2 linked regions of the Canis lupus familiaris genome follow. The protein of the gene in region 1 interacts with the protein of each later gene in a biochemical or structural test. Links are inferred from orthologs where the notes say so. Each region holds a gene or a part of one and is shown on either strand. Other genes may lie near its edges.

The links.
Region 2: the proteins of KLF4 (region 1) and HDAC2 form a complex in vitro, tested with the Homo sapiens proteins (2 studies listed by BioGRID). The link is inferred for Canis lupus familiaris from reciprocal best matches to the Homo sapiens genes KLF4 and HDAC2.

The regions. Positions count from the first base shown.
Region 1 is NC_049232.1:63,260,184-63,264,287, reverse strand, and holds the start of KLF4 (Krueppel-like factor 4), read left to right. Parts: upstream 1-1,225; 5' UTR 1,226-1,613; coding exon 1,614-1,618; intron 1,619-1,735; coding exon 1,736-1,856; intron 1,857-2,452; coding exon 2,453-3,464; intron 3,465-3,568; coding exon 3,569-3,733; intron 3,734-4,104. UniProt on the Homo sapiens protein: Transcription factor; can act both as activator and as repressor. Binds the 5'-CACCC-3' core sequence. Binds to the promoter region of its own gene and can activate its own transcription.
Region 2 is NC_049233.1:70,457,073-70,460,163, forward strand, and holds part of HDAC2 (histone deacetylase 2), read right to left. Parts: intron 2,696-3,091; coding exon 2,555-2,695; intron 2,332-2,554; coding exon 2,223-2,331; intron 1,399-2,222; coding exon 1,268-1,398; intron 201-1,267; coding exon 45-200; intron 1-44. UniProt on the Homo sapiens protein: Histone deacetylase that catalyzes the deacetylation of lysine residues on the N-terminal part of the core histones (H2A, H2B, H3 and H4).

The DNA of each region.
Region 1 (4,104 bases):
CGTCGGGCCCCTTTCGGGAAGCGGGGTCCCGCCGCGCGGCTCCACGTCCTGGCACGTGGCCGCTCTCCAGCGAAGCGCCCCTGGGGGGGGGGGGCGGGCGCTCGGCCCTCGGACCCGCGCCACGGAGCGCGCGCCCCGCAGACCTTTATCTCGCCGCTGCCCCCCTTTATGACTCAGTGTCCCCATCCGTAGAGCGGAAAGAGGGTGCGAGGCGTAGAGCGCTTGAGCTCCGCGGGCTGGAAGGCGTCCGCCGCGGCGCATCGGCCTGGAGCCCGCGCGCCCGCAACCCCGCGTCCCGCCCCGGGCGGCCTCCCTCCGGCTCCCACTGCCGCCGCAGCGCCGGGCGGCCACGGCGAGCCCCGCGGGTCCAGGCCCGGGGCCCGGCAGGGCCGCTGCGCGCACAGGGGAGGGACGGACGGCCGCGTGAGTCACGCGGATAATCGCGCTTCTCTCCAGCGCGCAGACTGCGCGGCGAGCGCGGCCGGAGCGGGGGTGGGGGCGGGGCGCGGAGGCCGCACCGACCCCTCCGCCCCCGGCGGGCCCCTCGGCCACGGGCTTCGGCCCCGCAGAGCGGGCCGCGGCGACGCACAGCTCCCCGGCAGCCCGCGCCCCGCGCCCCGCGCCTCGCGCCCCGCGCCCCGCGCCCGGGCAGCCGCCGCCGCCGCCGCCGCCGCCGCCGCCGCCGGCGTCAGCGCGGCTCCTGCCCGCCAGCTGCCGGGCTGGCGTCACGGCTCGGCCCGGCCCCGCCCGCGCCCCTCCCTCTCCCCCGCCCCCACGTGCGCCGAGTTTGTTTATTTAGCTGCCATGGCAACGCGCGGGGGGGCCGCGGAGGGAGGGGAGAAGAAAGGGAGGGGCGGGGCCTGGCGGCGGGCCGCGGCGCACCGCGGGGAGGAGGCGGGGTAGGGCGGGAGCCGAGAAGTTAAGTAAGGAGCGCGCGGCGGCCGCCGGCAGTTCCCCGGCCCGAGAGAGCGAGCGCGGCTGCGGGCGCGCGGGGAGCAGAGGCGGCGGCGGGCGGCGGCGGCCCCGGGAGCCGCCAAGCGCCCCTCCCCGCCCCTCCGGCCCCCCACCCACCCACCGCCCGCGGCCAGCGCCCATGGCCGCGCGCGCCCCGCTCGGCCCCCCGGACTCCGCGCGCCGCGCCGCCGCCCCGTCCGCAGCCCCGCGCCACCGCGGCCAGTCTCACCTGGCGGCGCCGCCCGCCCGCCAGCCCGGCCGCGGCCCCCGCGCCCACGGCGACCGCCGCGGCCCCCGCGACCGCGACCGCGACCGCGACAGCGACAGCGACAGCAGCGGTGGAGGACGCCGCTGAGTCGGAGGGAGCGCAGCGCAGCTCGGCCACGGACCTACTTACGCGCCTCGGCTCATCGTCTGCTTTTACGAGTTTACAACTTTTCTAAGAACTTTTGTGTACAGAGGAACTTTCCAAAAAAAAAGCAAGCAAGCAAGCAAAAGGCATCTCCCGTTTATATTTAATCCAAAGGAGGATCTCGGGCAGTTTGGGGTTTTTGGTTTTGGCTTCGTCTTTTTTTTTTTTTTTCTCCTCTTCGTTGACTTTGGGGTTTGGGTACCCCCACTGCTTCGGACTCCCGAGGACCTTCCGGGCCCCCACATTAATGAGGTAGGTGCGGCGCGGGGCGCAGGGAGGGGCGACGGCCGCGGACCCGGGGGCCGCGCCTGGGCGGCGTCGGAGCGCGGCCCCCTGACCCCCGCCTCTGCGCCCCACCCCGGCCCGCAGGCAGCCACCTGGCGAGTCTGACATGGCTGTCAGCGACGCTCTGCTCCCGTCCTTCTCCACGTTCGCGTCCGGCCCGGCGGGAAGGGAGAAGACCCTGCGTCCAGCAGGTGCCCCGAATAACGTGAGTGTGGCCCCGAAAGGGCAGGAGCGTCCGGGGGGCTTCTGCGGCTGCGGTGGGGACGGGCGGAGCCTCGGGGTCACCGGGAGGCGCCCGGCGCGGGCAAGGAGCGGCCACCGCACGGGCCCGGGCCCCGCCGCGCTCCCGGGGTGGCCTCCGCGCCCTCGGCCCCGCGTACGTGCGTGTGGTCCGGCCGCCGCGGAGCCGCCGGGGGCGCGCCCCGGGCCGGCACACGTCTCCGAGCGCTGGCGGCAGGGCCGGCGCGGGGGCCACTGGCCGGGAGGCGGATGCGTCCGCGGACGCCGCCCGGGCCCGAGCGAGCCTGGCGCGTGGGCGGGGGCTGCTGGCGGGGGCTGCTGGCGGGGGCGCAGGCGGAGCCCCTCGGCGACCCCGGGATCCGGCCGGGAGGACCCGGGCTGCCGAGCCCGAGGCGCCGGCTCACACGCAGTCGGGCGGACACACGCCCACACCCTCCAGGCGGACGCACCGCCTCCCCGCGGGGCCCGGGGCCGGGCCGGGACTGCAGCGCGGGCCCCCGCAGCCGCTCCCCGCCGGCCCGGCCCCGCACCGACGGCCCCTCTCCCGTCCTGTGCCCGCAGCGCTGGCGGGAGGAGCTCTCGCACATGAAGCGACTTCCCCCGGTGCTCCCCGGCCGCCCCTACGACCTGGCGGCGGCGACCGTGGCCCCCGACCTGGAAGGCGGCGGAGTCGGCGCGGCCTGTGGCGGCAGCAACCCCGCTCTGCTACCCCGGAGGGAGACGGAGGAGTTCAACGACCTCCTGGACCTGGACTTCATCCTCTCCAACTCGCTGTCCCACCCGGAGTCCGTGGCCGCCACCGTGTCCTCGTCGGCGTCGGCCTCGTCGTCGTCCTCGCCGTCGAGCAGCGGTGCGGCCAGTGCACCCTCCACCTGCAGCTTCAGCTACCCGATCCGGGCCGGGGGGGACCCGGGCGTGGCGCCGGGCGGCGGCGGTGGCGGTGGCGGCGGCGGCGGCGGCGGCCTCCTCTACAGCCGGGAGCCCGTGCCCCCTCCCACGGCCCCCTTCAACCTGGCGGACATCAACGACGTGAGCCCCTCGGGCGGCTTCGTGGCTGAGCTCCTTCGGCCCGAGTTGGACCCAGTGTACATTCCGCCGCAGCAGCCGCAGCCGCCAGGTGGCGGGCTGATGGGCAAGTTCGTGCTGAAGGCGTCGCTGAGCGCCCCCGGCAGCGAGTACGGCAGCCCGTCGGTCATCAGTGTTAGCAAGGGCAGCCCGGATGGCAGCCACCCGGTGGTCGTGGCGCCCTACAGCGGCGGCCCGCCGCGCATGTGCCCCAAGATCAAGCAGGAGGCGGTCTCGTCGTGCACGGTCGGCCGGCCCCTGGAGGCCCACTTGGGCACCGGACCCCCTCTCAGCAACGGCCACCGGCCGCCAGCGCACGACTTCCCCCTGGGGCGGCAGCTCCCCAGCAGGACTACCCCGACCCTGGGTGCCGAGGAACTGCTGAGCAGCAGGGACTGTCACCCCGCCCTACCACTCCCCCCGGGCTTTCACCCCCACCCCGGGCCCAACTACCCGCCCTTTTTGCCAGACCAGATGCAGCCACAGGTCCCACCGCTCCATTACCAAGGTCAGTCCTGGGGATCCGTATAGCTCGGGGGCTGGGGAGCCCTGCGTCAGCCGGCCCTCCGGGGGCTCAGGGGACGATGCTCACCCCACCTTCTCCACCCCTAGAGCTCATGCCTCCTGGTTCCTGCATGCCGGAGGAGCCGAAACCAAAGAGGGGGAGAAGGTCATGGCCCCGGAAAAGGACAGCCACTCACACTTGTGATTATGCGGGCTGCGGCAAAACCTACACGAAGAGTTCTCATCTCAAGGCACACCTGCGAACCCACACAGGTAGGAGAACAGAAGCTGCCAAAGGGGCGCGCGGGGGGGGGGGGGGGTGTCAGTGTGCAGGCCAACTGGGCACTTCTCAGGGGCTCCCTTGGGATGTGGGGTGCAGCTTATCTCCTCCATCTCCTGGATCACAGGACAGAACAGAACAGCAAAGCAAACTGGCGCCTCCTTTTTTGCCCAAGAGCCCTTTGCTTGATGGATGGTATCGGTGCTTGAACGTGCGCAGTTCTGTTAGGCTTTTGAAAGGCAGGGAGATTCCAGGCTGCATTTGGGCCTCTCATACCTGGTTTGAGCGAGCCACTGCCCTTGTTATCAAGAAATGACACTTTGCGCGGGCCCCTGGCTGGCTCAGTCAGTGGAGGGTGCAACTC
Region 2 (3,091 bases), on another chromosome or scaffold:
AAGCTCATTTTTAAAACTTATATTTAACAAGAAATAAATCTGACCTGCTTTTTTGTCCTCTGTTTCCTTCTTGTCTTCTTCAATTCTAGCTTTCTTTGCTCCTTTCTTATGATCGGCCACATTTCTACGTCCTCCTTCACCTTCATCCTCAGAATCTGAGAATTCTTCATCACAAGCTATCCGTTTGTCTGATGCTCGAACTGATTATATAAGGATTTTAAGAAAAGTTGACAAAGACGGTCAGAGGTTTAATTGTTGTTAGCACACTCAGGTACAAATGCACCAACCAATTTCTACATCTAAAAGTACAGGGTAACAGATACTTAATATTTTTAAGATTAGAACTGAATGCATGGTTTGTTCAATACTGAAAATTTAGATCGGAGGCTAGGAAGAAATAATTCAAAGCAACATGAAAAACATTTGGGGATCTCACCAAGAAAAATTTGGAGGGGAAAACTATGTTTTACTACTAGGAGGTGGGGATAACGTCTTTTTCAAAGGACTAACCGTTCATTTTATTTATTTTTAAATATTTATTATTTATTTATTTATTTATTAATTATAGACATAGAGAGAGAGAGAGAGAGGCAGAGACACAGGAGGAGGGAGAAGCAGGCTCCATGCCGGGAGCCCGATGCGGGACTCGATCCCAGGACTCCAGGATCGCGCCCTGGAACAAAGGCGGGCGCTAAACCGCTGAGCCACCCAGGGATCCCTAACCATTCGTTTTACAGCTAAAATGAGACATAGACAATATTAAAAATATCATTACTACCAAGTATGTTAGAAGGTCTACACCACAATAGCATACCATTGTGCTAGAACTCTAGCAGGCAATATTAAGTGGAATGGGAGGCTAGAGACTCAAACGGAAGGTGCTTGATGTTAGTCAACTCATCCTACTTTGGATAAATGGTATTACTTTTCATTTCATTCCCAAATATACAGGATTTTTTTTTTTTTTTTTTTTTGAGAAAGCATGTTTACATGTATGCACATGGATGGGGAGTGGGGGCCAGGGGGGGTGGTGGTGGGAGGGAGAGAGGATCCCAAGCAGACTCCACAGCCAGTGTGGGGCTTGGTCTCACAACCCTGAGATCATGACCTGGGCCAAAATCAAGAGGTCAGATACTCAACCGATTGAGCCACCCAGGCACCCCCTTGATCACACAGAGTCACATGAACTAAAAACACTGACATTCAAATCAGGTTTTAAGACATAAGAAAGTTGAATGTAACAATACACATCAAGGCATTATCTTACTAGAAATTCTCTTGTCTGGATCTTCTCCATCTTCATCTCCACTGTCTTCATGAACAGCGTCTTCTGGGATTGCTTGCATCTGGACGCCAGGTGCATGAGGTAACATGCGTAAATTTTCAAATAAACGCTGTCTAAATTACACATGCAAATTTATTAGATAAAATTCATTTCTTTTCATGTTCCTCTTAAATGTAAGAGGAAATATTAAGCAAACATTTCATCTTTTACCTGACTTAAAACCTATGAGTTAAATAATAATATAAAAGCATGACATTCAGACTATCATTAACCCATTTAATCCTCAAAATTTACAACACAGATACTATTTCATCCCCCATTTCAAAAATGAGAAAATATAAGCCTAAAGGCAAATTAACCTGCCAAATGTCACAAAAATTAGTGTGTTGGCAGAGAAAAGACACAAACTTGGGTCTGTATAGCACAACAGATCTCTAAACACTTTGTTCATGGAGATAAAGTTCTACCAAAAAGTTTCTTTTTTTTTTTTTTTAAAGATTTTATTTTTATTTATTCGTAAGAAACACACAGAGAGAGGCAGAGACACAGGCAGAGGGAGAAACAGGTTCTACGCAGGGAGTCCGACGTGGGACTCAATCCTAGGACCCCGGGATCGTGCCCTGAGCCAAAGACACACGCTCAACCCCTGAACCACCCAGGTGCTCCTACCAAAATGTTTCAAAAAGGAAAATTTCATTTTTTCGTAAGGCAAAAAAGTATACAATTTACAGTGCCTTTTGAAATTTAAAAATCCATTTTGGTAGAAAATGGAAATATTTTTGAGCTACGAAGCACATACGTTTTCATGATCTCAAAAAAATTAAAAGAAATCAGTCATCTTAACGTTTCAAAAATGCTTCTGAAAAAGACAAAGGAAACATCTGATATATAAAAATAAAGATGAAATATTTATCAAATTAACTCAATGGTCTCTTACTTTATCTTTTCCATATATTCTGGAGTGTTCTGGTTTGTCATATTTGAAGGACTAATATGCAGTTTGAAGTCCGGGCCAAAATACTCAAAGTAATCATTATATGGCAGTTCTATTAAAAACAATAAAATAAAGTAACATATTAAAAGCTCAGTTTTCCACACAAATCCACGCACAAAACCCAGATTCAAGCTGTGAAACATTCCCCAAGAAAACGTTTAAAAGTGAACACAAAGGGCATTTATTTAGTGACTGCTCTCCTGTTCACATGGCTCTAGAAGCTCATCATCCACCCACCCACATTTGTACGTATGGGTCTTAATAAGAATGCTTACCGTTGGGAATCTCACAATCAAGGGCAACCGCAGTCTCGTACGTCCAACATCGAGCAACATTACGAATTGTGTATCCACCTCCCCCAAGCATCAGTAATGGTAAATTGAAAGTTTTCACAACTTCTACACATTTAGCATGACCTGAGACAAAAAAGATTTGGCTAACAGCAAATCTAAATATTTTAGCAGTTTGAAAAATAAGTTTTAAAAAGATAATAAATGCAAACAGTTTTACATAAACCAAAATGGCTTTTCTAAGTATTTAAAGAATATGCAAAAATTTCAAGGAATTTTTAGTCTAAGATTTTTTAATCAAATACCTTTCATACAATGATATATACAACTCAGATACAATTGGCTATTTTAACAAGTGTCCCTGACAGAAAAGCAAATTATACCATTAAGATTAAAAATATGAACAGAACTTTATGCAGATATCCATGGATAATCTTAGCTAAGATTATAAAATTACTACCTATTACATGAGGAACACTTCAACAAATTTCTACGTGTAGAAACTTGAACAGAAAAGTAAAC